Linked DNA regions of Struthio camelus. The protein of the gene in region 1 purifies or fractionates together with the protein of each later gene. This does not show direct contact. Links are inferred from orthologs where the notes say so. Each region holds a gene or a part of one and is shown in the gene's direction. Other genes may lie near its edges.

Region 1 (7,320 bases):
TCTGTGCTCCCTGATAACCTAAATGAAGAGAGAAATAAGATGAAAGCAGCCATACAAGGCACAGTAGTTTAACATGAGTCTGTAGAGGACTATGTGTTCTTCTTCAGCAATAAATGGTGCACAAGACATTGCAGGCTTTTTATTAAGAATGCTGAAAGGCCAATACTCCGTGCCAAGCATCCTGAATTTGAAAATTAGAGGAGAGATGTCAGCTTCATGAACGGTGCACTGTAAAAAGCAGAAGTTTTGGTCTAAGAAGAATACAGGGTTTCAAAATTTGTCTTTGATTTGAACTGAAATATCAAGACTTCCCTGAAAATAAACCTCTTCCTTCACTTCAGTGAAATCAGGATGTTGTATGTTGCTCTTTTTTGTTTGTTTTTATGTGTAAAATGAGGAAACAACAAAAATTCAAAACTAATTGGCTGCATCTCAACAAAAAAAGATCTGTTTCATTCCAAAAATGTCCAAACGGGATGTGTCAACTTTGTCAAAAAGATTTACCAATTTTCTTTTGAAGGTAATTGTCACCAAGTTTATTTATAGTCATAAATGTTTTGGTTTTGGTCAAACTGCTTATGCCAGTTGTGTAATTGATAGTTCTGTAAAAGCGGTATAAGCATACGATATTCCTCATTGCCTCATTTCATTCCAAACAAAAAACACAGGCAGAAATCCCAATGTTTGCCAGTCAGTAAAGCATCCTGTAGCTTATGTTATACAACTTGTACAGTTCAAAGAACATTTTCATTAGGAGTCATCTCATCTAAGATCAGCTGCCCAAAAACTAGGTGTCTGGGCCAATTATGCTATCGTTAGCTCAGGTCTCTAGAGGTTTCTAAAACAGCTAGAATCCTCTCCATCCGTTGATGATGGAGGGAATTTAGCAGACCGAATAGCTTGCTGCCCCTGTAAAGGGCAATCCTGCTCATCCAGCTGTTGTCCTCTATCCTTTGGTCCCTGAACTTGATCTGGGACTAACTCACTATGCAGTTGAATAAATGCGATTGCTTCTTTTCATAGCAGGAAAGCTGTTAGGCTTTCTGTTGTCTCAGGTGTCTCCTGGAACCTCACTCTGAGGCTAACTTTTGGAGAGCTACAGTTAAGTGAGATGTTTTCACCGCAAGCCACACATGTCAGCTTCATACAGGCATAAACACTATCCTGTGCTGGTGCAGCTGTTTAGGCCTTCTCTAATTCTGAGTCAGTGGATCTCAGAAACAGCTTGTTGAGGGATTCTTAAACTAAGAAACACCAGACCTAATAAACTAATCAAAGTAATGGCTTTACTGGGCAATCCAGTGGCTTGTGAGTAGAATGACTTTGAGCTAAAGGTGGATGTTACATACAGTGAAACTGCAGTTGTAATAAGAACGCAAGTTTTGTGGAGGCTTGAAAGGGTTCTTCATATGAGAATAATGCTGTAGAATTATGGAATCATGGAATTTTGACAGAAATATGACATTGCAAGCTGAGAAATAGTTGGGTTAGGAAAGAGAGAAACCATTTGCTTTCACTAGTTTTTATGAATTGTTATAAAAAGTGGTACCTAAAACTGCAGCAAGAAGCACTTGTGTTATCTTTCACTAGAAGGCTCTGAGGTGCGAGAGGTATTAGCTTGTTTGTGTTCTGGGTATCTCTTTAGATCATTTTTGAGGCTCAGAAAGAAAACAAAGAATACTCAGTATTTCAGTATTTAGCTTTTCTAAGTAGCAAACTGAAATTAGCTGGCCCTTCCTTACTCAGTCAGGCTGGAGTTAATTATTTAGTTCCAATCTGCGGCTCTTCAAGGCTGGCTCTTTCTCACCTTAGGCTGAGGTTAACTATTCACAGTTTCAATCTAGAAGTAATAAACTGCAGTCTGCAAAGAGGGAACTGGGAATTATGAATAAGGAAATGGAAAGATATGACCAGCTTAGCCTTGTTTTATATATTCTTGGTTGTCCAGGAAATCCTGATTAAACTAAATTTGGGCCTTAACATGGAAGCTTATAGTACTCAAAAAGGCAGGACATGAGCTTTGTTAATAAGCCTGTCTACAACAAATCTATGAACCAAACTGAAGTTTACTTCCACTTCCGTGTGGACTTTCTGTGACTGAATTATTTCTCCACTGAGGATATCCAGGTAAGATATATTCCTCCATCCACCCAGAAAACGTCCTAATATGAAGTTATTCTTAGTCATACTTCCTAGTATGACATATTGTGAAAACAAAAGCAATGTTTACATGGAAAAATTAGACTTCTGAAGTCCACATATGGTAGACTCCCTGCTTATTGGGTTATCTAACGAGCAGTATCACGGAACGTGATGGAGAAGAGCCGCGATGCCAGGCTGCAGTCAGAGATGTGAGACGGTTGGGGCCCTGAGCGCTCAGGACTGAGGCGTCCCCAAAGCCCCTCTCCTCTACTGGTCCGAAGGTCGCAGTGCGCAGGAAGAGCCACGGCACTCACGTCAGGGGGAGAGATCAGGTGCCACAGCAGTGGAAAGTGAGGCAGAGGCCAGCTCACTGAATCATACCTGAATTTTGACAGGTTTGAATACTAACGTTAAATCTATATTTAATGGCTTTTTAGCTTCCTTACATGTTGGAAGTTAGTCAGGCAAAACTAACAGGAGAGCTCAAGCAGCATACACAGCCAAGTTTCTAAGCAAACAGCGGCTCTTGACAGCTACATTGTTACAACAAATGTTGATGGGGGTTGAGAAATGCTTTCACATAATAAATTACTAAAAACAGAATTTCTAGCATAGCGTGGATGCTCAGGAACTGGTAAGAACACTCCAGGTCTGTACTCAAAGGTGAATCTGACATTTCTTACCTCCTCTGGAAGGTGGCATCTTTGTTTGAATGAATCTTGAGTGCATTTAAAAGGAGGGAAGGAAAATGCTCTTGGAGAGGTTTATGGGAATGTGCACAATAAACTAGGGCTGCACTGTGAAAACATGCATTTAGGGAGTTTTTAAAAATAAATTTACATAAAATCACAATGAGATTTTTTATGCCTGTTACAGGCCAATTAAAAGCATTATGTAAACACTTCCAAATTCATACAGAGTTGATGTGGGACATTCAGAGTATGATTATGCATATTCCCCGTGAGGGCTTAGCCTTGTTTCTGAAATACCCAAATCTGTACCTCTAATTCGTGCTGTAATCAAGACAAAAGTGAATCACCACAATTTGAGCAGGCATTCTCAAATTATCCCCATGTGCAGCAGTTTACTTTTCAATCAATGCCCAGCCATTTAACTCGGAGAGGAGGGAAGACTGAACCAGAAATGGCTCTCAAGGCAATTCCTGGCTATGCAGTGGCTGGACTTATACAGGCAGAAGGCACAGGCCTTATTCAGTGTAAACCTGCTGAGGATCTAGTGGTTCAGTCACCTCTGTCTGGGTCATGCATAACTGACATCACTGGTATGGTCCCACTCCCTGAATGCTCTGTGCAATTTTTCCTTTCTGAAGAAATCTCTGGCAAAAGCTGAGGCTGCTTTAGAGAGGAAGGGAGATGAACTTCATCTGTGTCACACGTGCAGGGCTTGGGAGCAAATGGTGTGCATCCAGCCCATTTGGGAGCAAAATGCAAAAAAGAGGCAGGTGGTGAGTTGTCACAGTCTGCTTCAGCATCTGCAAGCCGAGTGCCCAGCTCGTCAGTGTGAACATTTCCTGTTATTACCCTGATTTCAACCTGCCTTACCCCCTGCTTTAGTTCATCAGGGGGTTACGTCTCCTCTTTCAGATGCCGGTCCGGCAGAGCGCGAAACAGGCCGCAGCAGCACCGCCAAGGGCAGGGCTACGGCTGCAAAGCCCCCACGCTCCAAGGCCACGACTGGGCCCTCGTCCGCTCGTGGGGACACGGGAGCAGCGGAGCTCGCCGTTTCCCGGCGTTTCCCAGCCTCCGCGCTGCCGGTGCCGCCCCTCGGGGCCCGGCGGGGCGCGCCGGGGGCGCCGCGCTCCCGCCGGGGGAGGCAGCTCCGGGCGCCCGGCAGCACGTCGGGGCTGGCCCGGCGCGCTCGGGGTGGGAGAGCCAGACCTGCGAGGGGTTGGCCTCTGGCAGATGATTGACACCAAACTGGGTGAGGTTTCATGTTTAAAAAAAAAAGGAAAAAAAAAAAAAGGAAAGAAAGAAAAGGAGCGAGCGCAGAGGAGGGGGTGAGCGTGGAAGGGGGGAGAAGGAACTCCTGTAAGAGTACGAAAGAAAGTCCTGCCCAGCTGTTTGCGAAGTTTAAGATTTCCTGTTTCCCTTGCAGCGCCGAAGTGAAGTTTTTAGTGAGTCACGCGCGGTCCCGAGCAGCAAAAGCAGCGCAGCCCGCGCCGCCGTGCCAGCCCCGCCGGCGGCCTCTCCCGCTGCCCGGGCGCCCGCCGCTCCGCGCCGCTCCGCGCCCCGCCTCGGCCTCGCTCTCTATGCGGCTGCGGCTCGGCGATGCCTGCCGCTCTGCCGAGGAGCCTGCGGCGGCTGCTGCTGCGCGTCTCCGTGTGGCTCCTAATGGGCAGCTCGGTCCCCGCTCTGCTTCGGGGTAAGTGCGCGCCGCTGCCCCGGCCCCCGGTGCAGCCTGCGGAGCGTTTTCACTTGACAGTTGCTCGGCCGCAGGCGGGAGCGGTGGCAAGGGAGGGGGAGGATTTGGTTGCTAAGAAAGTTTTGAAGCTGGTAACAAAACGCGGGGGGGGGCGGGTAGGGAGGACACGCGTGTTTATTTATTGCCCTGCTGGGGAGTTACCGGGGGGAAAAAGGGCTGGGGAACTTGAGTGGGGGGGGGGGGGACTCACAGTAGACAGTGAGGTCCGTCGGCAGAGGGAAGCGAGGGAGAAAAAGAGAGAATTTGGCAGGAAATGCAACAGGGTCTCATGTGGCCGGAGGAGCCGGAGAGGGCAGCCCGGGAGCTGCCTGCTGTGCCGGGCCGGGCCGGGCCGGGCCGGGCCGGGCGGAGAGGTTGCCGGGCCCTGCAGCTGCTGCAGCTTCCGCACCTGGGGGCGGCGGGGGCGGCCGGTCCGCACCTCCCGCCGCCGCGGGGCACGGCTCCGGCGCCGCTGCTGGCGGCCCTGCCCGCCCACACCGGGCAGAGAGCGCCGTGGGTGCTGCGTGGCCCGAGCCTGTGCGTGCCGTCCTTCGGGGCGGTGGGCCCGCGCCCGGCCGCAGAGCTGGCTGCCGAGGCGATCAGCGGTTACTTACCAAAAAGTTATTTGACTCTGTGGGAGTTTCTGCGGCATTGCCTGCAGCAGGATTAAGGCATGGTTTGTGAGCAGTTGCACTGGGAACGGCAGTCATTCTTGTAGCGCTCGATGTCTTAAAGTGCTCATGTTGTTTAATTCACTTTTACTGATGCTTTACGTCCCTTATTCTGGCTGTTTTTATCCAGACATCTGTAGAGAGATGTTTTGAGGCTGTGGCTCGTATTACTCTTCACAGAGTAATTTGGAATGCACGGAGAGGTTGAAGTGCCCCTGTGAAAACAGGGCCCCTACCCTGAGGAGCTTCTGGTCCCAGTCTTACCAGTGCTAACCCACGCGTGTGAACTAACATCTCTATCTGCGAGGTTAGGCCCTAAATCGCGTTGCAGCTCCATTGGCGAAGTTAAAAAGAGAACATCCTATCGCAGCAAAACTGTATCTGAAACAGTTTTGCGGTATTAAGCAGATCTCTGAGGTGCCTTGTTATATTGAATGTCTGGTTTTAGTCTTTAGGTAAGAGGAACAGGCACCTGAGCTTTTCCAAGCTGTGCTTGGTGCTCCAGTTCTCCCCTGTGGTCCATTCAATAACGGTCTCAAAACTGTTGCTGAAAAATAACAACATAAACTGGATAGCTCTCGCATAGCCACTGCAAATAGCTGTGTACATGACTAACTTAATGCTTCGTTAATAACCCAGTCAAAGTCAACAGGCCTTACATACCTGTAAAGTTACTCACGTAAGTTTAAGGCACATGAAAAAACAGTTAAACAGTTTAAGAATAAGGGTCTGTAGTGTCCTAGGGCACAATATCTTATTATTATTTTAAATTTGAGGCATGCAGCTTCTTGTTGATTTTGGTATATATTTATGATTAATATAAACCATACCCAGCTAGTGATGGCTTTTATTTTGATCCTGGCCTAAAAAATATTACTGTAGATTCCTATTACACAAAGCTTTAACGGAATTAAACTGAAAAGCTCCAGTTTTATAAAGCTGCTGTTCTGTTATTATTGCTTATGCTTTTTTGCTCAACCAGTATAGACAGTTTCAAACTACAGATAAACTTTTTAATGGGCCTATCTTAAGAAATTTTTTGATGTCTTCTTTCTTGTCATAGAGCCAGTGAGGAAAAAAATAGAGATTTCCTTCCAGTTCAGCGTATTTCATGCTGATCTTCATCTGCACTCTACAGTAACCAAAATTGGGTTGACCTGTTGTCAGATAATTGATCATATTCAAAATTCCATTTTTGTAATTACTGCAGGACTAAGCGTGTAACGAGGTAGCACTGGTCAGAAAACAACAATTCTGTGGGGGCAGCAAGTGTGAGGTTTGGATGTTGGTTTTTAGTAGTCATCAGAATGAAAACTAGAAACTTTGTTTGGGAAAACCAAACAAAGCCCAAGAAGAGCTACTCTCTTTGGAATAATCAATAGCTCTGCAGTTGGGAGAGGATGAGGCGGGACGGATAACAGCCTCAGGAGAGCTTGCTTCCCAGGTGTGTGTACTGACTACCTGCTGTTGTTGGTGAGGGGGGCTAACAGAACCTCGGCTAAAATTTCATCTTAACATTCTTCCTAGCAAAATACTGGTCAAGAACAGCACGTTTACACAAAAATTCTGGAGAAAGCCAGGAATTCATGAGCGGGTCCAATAGCAAGTATTTCCTTTGAAAAAGATGCTCAAATATCCTGTTCTAGACACAAGTAGTTGAAGTTATTTCCATGGACTAAAGGGACAAGTTGTGTTTTTTGAATGATTGTGACTGCTACACTGATAAATGGCAGTGCAAATTAGCAGTCGCCTGCATAAGAAATGAACGCTGCTTTGTCCAAGTGAAATTGGAATCTGTAGTTTATATTTGGAGTATTAAAAACTTAAATTTGTGCTTTGGAATAATCTGTGTAATGATTCCTCATTTCTGAATATCTGGAACTTAATTTCTTCATTCAGCCAGCCTCTACTTTATCTCCTCTTTTTTTTTTTTTAAATGCCATATTACTGTCAGTTGGTTTTATAGTAACAAAATAAAATTGAATTAAGAGCTTCAGATAGTTGCAAGAAGGAAATACGAGAACAAACATCTTCATAATGTGGTGGAACATATTTGTAACACGCTCGGATCTAAAATGCAGTCCTG
Region 2 (7,878 bases), on another chromosome or scaffold:
GGTGGTGGGCTGCTCTGGCAGTGGGATGCTGTGCCAGTGGGGTGCTCCAGCAGCAGGGGCAGGGCTGTTAGTGCTCCCCATCCCGTCCCCATCCACGTATGCGCCACCAGGCCCGCAGGCCAATTTTTAGGACACTCAGGGATCAGGGAGGCGCTGGAGGCAGCGTGCCAGCTCGTGCCGTGCCGTGCCGAGCCGAGCGGGCCGCAGCCCCGGGCAGGGCGGCCTCGGAAAGCCCTTGGCACGAAGCCGCCACCGGCAACCATCTCCAGGGCACCGCGCGCCCCGGCGCCGGCGGGATTCCACCTCGGCTCGGCCGCCGGGAGCGCCGCCGGGGCCGGGGCCGCAGGCCGGGTGCCATGGGGGCCGCGTGCTCGTGCTTGGGCAGCTCGGCTGCTCAGGCTGGCCGAGGTGACGGGGACGAGAGGGGCGCGCGGGTGCTTCCCGCCGCGCTTTCTCCCACGGCGGGTTGGGGCCGGCCCCACCATGCCGGGGGGCGCCTGCCGGGGGGTTCAGCAGCTCACTCGCCGCCGTCCAGGCTTCTGCTTGGCTGAGTCTGGTTTTTTCTATTTTCTTTTCCCCCAGAAAAACTCAAGCATCACAAAATCATCTTCGTGGTGGGTAAGTAAGTCGGCCGCTGCGGGGAGCGAGGCCGACTGCAGAGCCCCATTCTCCCGCGCCTCGCCGGGGCAATTTCGGGGCCCAGGGGAGCAGCCGGCTTTGCAGGACGTGCTTGAAAATTTGGGACCTGTAGAAACCACCGGCTGCCTCCGGGGCAGCTGCAGCACTCCCAGCTCGGCTCCTCGGGGTGACAGCGGCTGGGACGCCATGGGGTGGGGACACTCCGGGTGCCAGTGTGGGGCTTGGGGACCTCATCTCACTGGCTGCCAGATGCTCCCTGTGGGTCTGCAGTGCTTTTTGGGCCCCCCCCCCAGCTCTTTCCCCCTGGGCTGGGATGTGAACGGGGCCCTGCTGTGACTTGCAGGCGGCCCCGGCTCAGGGAAGGGGACCCAGTGCGAGAAGATCGTGCAGAAGTATGGATACACCCACCTCTCCACCGGAGACCTGCTGCGCGCTGAGGTCAGCTCCGGCTCCGAGCGGGGCAAGAAGCTGAAGGCCATCATGGAGAAAGGCGAGCTGGTGCCCCTGGTGAGCCTGCGCGCCGGAGGAGCCCGCCGGGACACCCCGAACCGCAGGGGCGGGCACTGGTGGTGGGAGTGCTGGTCAGGGGGGACCGTGGTGATGCCGGTGATGGTCAGCATGTGTCCAGGGGAGGCCTTGGTCCCCCGCCACCCCAGAGCCCTGGGCTAGCAGCCGGGATCAGGGGGTGCCGGGTGATGGGGAGCGGATACATCACCCCCTCACCTCTTGTCCCCTCCTCCCCGGCTCCCAGGAGACGGTGCTGGACATGCTGCGGGACGCCATGGTGGCCAAAGCGGATGTGTCCAAGGGCTTCCTGATCGACGGCTACCCCCGCGAGGTGAAGCAAGGACAGGAGTTCGAGAAGAAGGTGAGGGGCTGGGGACGGGCCCTGCTTGCGGAGACACCACCGCAGACCCGCGCGGAGGGAGATGCAGGACAGGCTGGGGACATCCATGCCCACATCCCAGCCGCCTCCCCTGGTGACAGCTGCGTCCTCCCCGCCCGTAGATCGCCGCCCCGACGCTGCTGCTCTACGTGGACGCGGGGAAGGAGACGATGGTCAAGCGGTTGCTGAAGCGGGGCGAGACCAGCGGCCGGGTGGATGACAATGAGGAGACCATCAAGAAGCGCCTGGAGACGTACTACAAGGCCACGGAACCCGTCATCGCCTTCTACAAGAGCAGGGGCATCGTCCGCCAGGTGAGCGGGGCCCGGGGTGCCGTGGCGGGGACGGGACCCCTCGTCACCCCACAGCTGGGCTCCCCACCTCCTTTAGGTGGTCCCCCACTGCCATGTGCCCCTTGACCAGGGCCAGCAGCATCCCGGCGCCAAGACATCCTTCGGGAGATGTCCGTGCCGCCCCGTTGCCTTAACTATGCCCTAGCTGTCCCTAAGCTGAAATGTGTCCCCAAAAGAGCCACCTCCTCCGTGGGAGGCTCCCGGGGGGCCGGGCGCCGAGGCGTCCCCGAGCCTGACACTGCTGTCCCGCTCGCGCAGCTCAACGCCGAGGGCACCGTGGAGGAGGTTTTCCAGCAGGTCTGCTCCCACCTGGACGCCCTGTAGGCGAGCCCCGGGGCCAGGCTCGCCGCGCCGGCCCGGCCCGCCGCCCCACACGCGCACGCACTCCGGCTCCGCGGCAGAGACAGCGGAAGCGGCTTTATCCTGTTTTCGTGGACAGAGCCGCGCGGAGGAAATTTCAAGGACATTGTGTTTGGCTCTTTCCCGTCTCTCCCCAGTAAAGTTCACTTTAATGAGCCCAGACTTTATCTTTTTTCTTCTGCCGCAGGAAATGAGTTTTTCTTTCCAGAAATTTTTTTATCCCCCCCCCTTCCCTCCGCACACCCCTTTCTGAGGCTGATTAAGGGCAGGAAACGGGCTGTTTATCCCGCCCGGTGGCATCGCGGCCGGGGGGAGCGGGATGCTGCGCTCGGAGGAAGGGAGGGGAGCATCCCGGCTGCATCGGCCGAGCCCCGGGGCTGCGGGGGGCCCGCGGCCGCCTCCTTGCAGCCAAACCCCCTCGCCGAGACCCGTCCCGCTGCCGGGGCTGAGGGAGCCAGGTTCAGGCCAATGCCACGGGCTGTGGCCGGGCGTCCCGGGTGCCCCAGCGTGTGCCAGCCCCCCCTCCACCCCGCTGCTCCCGGGGACGGGGACGGGGATTTCCACCACTTTCAACACTGCTGGCTCCAGCCCGCGCCTCGGCCTCGACACTCCCTTGCATCGTGCTGTCGGGAGCTTTTTAGGGGAACCGGGGCTGTGCTCTGGGTGCCCTGACCCACGGAGAGAGTTCGGGGGGGGCCGACGTGGGAGACGGAGGGGGCGTTTCGGTCGCGGGCTGTCGGCCGCATCAGGGTGCAATGCCGGTGGCGCGGCTGCAGCAGGGCTCCGGGGCCAGGGGGTTTGCCCGGATGCTCTGCCGGCAGGCGGTTTTCCCGGACGCGGCGCGGGGCTGCTGCCTGCCAGGTTACGGCGAGGGCAGGAGGCGGCAGAGCCGTGACCTCGGCCTGCCCCTGGCACCGCTCGCTTTCGGGCTGCTGTAAATCAGGCGACGAGCAAAGCGAAGGTCAGGAGAAAGGAGGCTGTTTGGAGGCAGCCGAAGCTGCTGAGACGGTGTCGAGGAAGGAAACGAGTGGGGGGGCAAAAAAAAATAAAAGTCATAAAGTTAAAAACGAGCCCCGTCAGGCTCGTACAGCGGCCGGGGGGGCGAAGGAGCCTGGCTCGAAACGGGGACGGCCACAGGGCCACCACGAGCAAGGGGGTTTGAGGGGGGGCCCACCGCAGGCTGGGCCATGGGGAGCGACCCCTCTCCCTTGCGCCTCCATCCCGTTTTTGTGGCCTCGGGCCAGGCGCGAGCGTGCCTCAGTTTCCCAAGTGAGCGAGCGGGGATGGAGCTGCCGGGCGCTGGGGCCGGGAGAGGGGGCAGCAGGCACCCCGGCCCCAGCAGCCTTCGGCTGGTCACCGGCCCCGGCTGAGCACCCGTCCCCGCGGTCCCCAGGAGATGGCAGTGCTCTGTCACGGGAGACATCTGCCTGCTCACCTCACCGTCGGGGACACGTCCCAGGGGACATCCCGCCAGGCCGGGACAGGCCTTGCCGTCCATCTCCCAGAGGGGCGGCTGGGGATGGAGCGAAGCAGGGGCTGCACCGGGTCCCTCGTCGGGGGGCAGCTCCGGAGGGGCTCAAGCCTGGCTGCCCAGCACCGTCCCCCTCCTCGCCAGGCGCATGGGGAGTGGGGTGGTGACAGTCCCCATCCTGCCCGAGCCCCCAGGCCGGCCCTGAGCTGCATGTGGGGCTGCATTTTGGGGGGGGGGGGGGGGAGCATCCTGCCAGGCAGGTGGGTGCCCCTGCCCGTCTGCAGAGCCGGCCGCGCTCGGAGGTCCCCGGGGGGGTCTCGCCGGGTGCCCCGGGGTCCTCGCAGCCGCTCAGCGCTGCCCCGCACCAGCACCCGCAAGTATGGGGAAACTGAGGCACGGCGCTTGGGCCCCCCCCCGGCTGGGGTTGGGGGGAGGGGGGTCCCATCGGGCAACACACCCCCTCCCACCCCAAAATCCATAGGAGACAGCCAGCGCATCCGGCGGGGCAGCACCCCCGGGGGCAGCGCAGCCCTCGGCTGCCCGCCGGCCCTCCCCGACCTCCCGGCAAGGCTCCAGGCCGCTGCGAAGCGGCATTTCCTCCCCGCTCTTGGCAGGCGCTCGGCTCGGCGGACCCTCCTCTAAAGGGAGTTGATTTCCTGCCGCCGCAGGTCATCAGCCCGAGCGCGGCGCCGGGCTCGCACACTCGGGCGCTGCCGCGGCTTCCCCGGCGCGGCCCGGCCCCACCGCCGGCCCCGGCCCGCCACCGCCGCCACCGGGCGCCGTCGAGGCTGGAGCGGCGAAAGCTGCCCGGCTGCCTCCGCCTGCGCCTCCCCGGCCCGCCGCCGAGCCCCGCCGGCCAGCCCTCGGCCCCTCCGGACACGGGCTAAGGGCAGCGCAGCGCCCGGGCAGGCAGCATGGGCGCCCCGAGGCGCCGCGTCGCCCCGCTGCCGCCGCCGCCGCCGCTGCCGCCGCCGCCGCTGCTGCCGCTGCTGCCGCCGCTGCTGCTGCTGCTGCTGCTGCGCTGCGCGCCCGGCCGCGCCGGTGAGTGCTGCCGCGGGCCGGGCCGGGGTGCTGCCGCCCGCCGTCGCCTGCCCCAGTGTGTCCTCGGGAACCCCCCACCCCGCTTCCCTGGGGTGCTGCCGCCGGGGTGGCTTGGCTGGGGGCGCTCCCGGCCAACCCCCCCATGCCCCCTCGCACCCCCCCCGCCGCCACCGGGCCGATTCGGCCCATACCCCCCCACCCCACCCCACCCCACCCCACCCCGCGGTGGGTGCGAGGTCGCGGGCGAGCAGGGCCTCCGCGAGGTCCCGGCGTTTCGGGGACTGCTCGGGAAATCTGTGCCGCCGAGAGCCGGAGTCGCGCGGCGGAAACGGCGCTGTACCACGCCGGGAATAGGAGGGAGGCAGGCAGAAAGCGGCCAGCGCGGTGCCCCCCGGCCCCCCCGGCCCCCTGTCCCCACCGCAGGGCCGCGGCGAAACGGGGAATGGCAACCCGGGAAGCCGCCCTCGCCGCTCCGCCTCGCCGGCGAACGGCGACGCTCGGGCCACGTCCCAGCTGCGTTTCGTCACGCTAGGAAAAATAAACCCCGCTCCGGCTGCAAATTCGTGCTGGCCCTGCCGCGGGGGAGCTGCCGGCCCCGGGAGACCCGGGAGGGGAGACGGCGCCCAGGCGCGGGCTGCGTCGGCGGGCGTCGAGGTGCCGCCGCCGCCGCAGCCGCCTCGCCGAGCGCGGAGGCACCGGGGCGCCTTCGTGACCTGCCCGGCACCGCAAGGCGGGCGCCGAAAGCGGGAGCCGAGGGAGGAGGAGTGATCTGGAAACCCCCGTGGTTGCAGGCGGCCGTAGGGCTGGGGGCTTTTCCGCCCTCTTAGCAAGCGGCTGGGGCAGAGCCAAAGCCCCCCGCGGTGCGCCCCGGTCCCACGACCCCGGTGGCGGCGCGGGGCGGGGGACGGGGTGGCAGTGCCCCCGCCGGCGGGCAGGGAGTGCGGGGCCGGCGGTGGGAAGGGAGCAGCAGCCGGGGCCGGCGGGAGCAGCGTCCCCGGCACGGCGAGCTCCCTCGGGGGGCCGGGCGCCGGGCTGGGGTCGGGCCCCGGCTGTGACATCCCCGCTGCCCTGCTCAGCCCGCTGTCCCTGCCGGCTGCAAGCCCCAGGAAGGGCCAATTGTCGGCCCATAGCAGGGCCATACGGCCCCTGTCCCACGTAGCTGTGCCGCACGGGCCCCACCATACGTAGCTGTGCCATGCAACCCCATCCTATGTAGTTCTGCTGTAAAGTCCTTGTCCTACGTGGCTGTGCCATATGGTCCCTGTCCTACCTAGCAGGGCCATACAGTCCTTGTCCTACGTAGCTGTGCCGTGTGGTCCCTGTCCTACATAGCTGGGCCATACGGTCCTTGTCGTACATAGCTGGGCCATACGGTCCTTGTCCTACGTATCTGTGCCGTGTAGTCCCTGTCCTACATAGCTGGGCCATACAGTCCTTGTCCTACGTAGCTGTGCCGTGTGGTCCCTGTCCTATGTAGCTGTGCTGTGTGGTCCCTGTCCTACATAGCTGGGCCATACGGTCCCTGTCCTATGTATCTGTGCCATATGATCCTTGTCCTACGTAGCTGGGCCATGCAGTTCCTGTCCTACGTAGCTGGGCTGTGTGGTCCTTGTCCTATGTAGCTGGGCCATACAGTCCTTGTCCTATGTAGCTGGGCCATGCAGTCCCTGTCCTACGTAGCTGGGCCATGCAGTCCCTGTCCTACGTAGCTGGGCCATGCAGTCCCTGTCCTATGTAGCTGGGCCATGTGGTCCCTGTCCTATGTAGCTGTGCTGTGTGGTCCCTGTCCTACGTAGCAGGGCCATACAGTCCTTGTCCTACGTAGCTGGGCCATACGGTCCCTGTCCTACGTAGCTGTGCCGTGTGGTCCCTGTCCTATGTAGCTGTGCTCATGGTCACTGTCCTATGTAGCTGGGCCATACGGTCCTTGTCCTATGTAGCTGTGCCATATGGTCCCTGTCCTACGTAGCTGGGCCATACGATCCTTGTCCTACGTAGCTGTGCCATATGGTCCCTGTCGTACATAGCTGGGCCATATGGTCCTTGTCCTACGTAGCTGTGCCGTGTGGTCCCTGTCCTACATAGCTGGGCCATACAGTCCCTGTCCTATGTAGCTGGGCCGTACGGTCCTTGTCCTATGTAGCTGTTCCGTATGGTCCCTGTCCTATGTAGCTGGGCCGTACGGTCCTTGTCCTATGTAGCTGTTCCGTATGGTCCCTGTCCTATGTAGCTGGGCCGTACGGTCCTTGTCCTATGTAGCTGTTCCGTATGGTCCCTGTCCTATGTAGCTGGGCCGTACGGTCCTTGTCCTATGTAGCTGTTCCGTATGGTCCCTGTCCTACGTAGCTGGGCCATACAGTCCTTGTCCTACATAGCTGGGCCATACGGTCCTTGTCCTATGTAGCTGTGCCGTGTGGTCCCTGTGCTATGTAGCTGTGCCATATGGTCTCTGTCCTACGTAGCTGGGCCATGCAGTCCCTGTCCTACATAGTGGGGCCATATGGTCCTTGTCCTATGTAGCTGTGCCGTGTGGTCCCTGTGCTATGTAGCTGTGCCATATGGTCTCTGTCCTACGTAGCTGGGCCATGCAGTCCCTGTCCTACATAGTGGGGCCATATGGTCCTTGTCCTACGTAGCTGTGCCGTGTGGTCCCTGTCCTATGTAGCTGCGCTGTGCGGTCACTGTCCTAGGTAGCTGGGCCATGCAGTCCCTGTAGTCCCTATGTAGTCGTGCCCCATCCTACATAGCTGTGCCTACTGACCCTGTCCTACGTAGCTTTGCCATATGGGCCCTGTCCTATGTGGCTGTGCCATGCAGTCCCTATCCTATGCAGCTGGGCCATACAAGTGCCTATGCTACATAACAGAGCCATACAGGCTCTGTCCTGCATAGCTGTGCCATATGGTCCCTCTCGAATGTAGCCGTGCCATGCCGTCCCTGTCCATATGACCCCATGCTACACAGCTGCACCACACAGTCCCCATGTTATGTGACCGTGCCACGTGGCACAGAGCTGTGCCATGTGCAGCCTGGCTGTTGCCTTTGCCCATCTCCCCCCACCAGGAAGCCTCAGCGCTGGGGAGCCCCAGCCGGGGAATTTGGCAGTAGGCGGCGGGTTTCGGGCAGCC

Evidence for each region.
Region 2: the proteins of TGFBR2 (region 1) and ENG purify together in Homo sapiens (affinity purification with western blotting; 3 studies listed by BioGRID). This does not show direct contact. The link is inferred for Struthio camelus from reciprocal best matches to the Homo sapiens genes TGFBR2 and ENG.

The regions. Positions count from the first base shown.
Region 1 is NC_090943.1:46,973,711-46,981,030, forward strand, and holds the start of TGFBR2 (TGF-beta receptor type-2), read left to right. Parts: upstream 1-4,130; 5' UTR 4,131-4,159; intron 4,160-4,257; 5' UTR 4,258-4,430; coding exon 4,431-4,524; intron 4,525-7,320. UniProt on the Homo sapiens protein: Transmembrane serine/threonine kinase forming with the TGF-beta type I serine/threonine kinase receptor, TGFBR1, the non-promiscuous receptor for the TGF-beta cytokines TGFB1, TGFB2 and TGFB3.
Region 2 is NC_090961.1:7,687,627-7,695,504, reverse strand, and holds the start of ENG (endoglin), read left to right. Parts: upstream 1-4,623; coding exon 4,624-4,750; intron 4,751-7,878. Other genes in the region: AK1 (adenylate kinase isoenzyme 1), read left to right, coding at 583-618, 983-1,146, 1,391-1,507, 1,648-1,839, 2,137-2,202. UniProt on the Homo sapiens protein: Vascular endothelium glycoprotein that plays an important role in the regulation of angiogenesis. Required for normal structure and integrity of adult vasculature. Regulates the migration of vascular endothelial cells.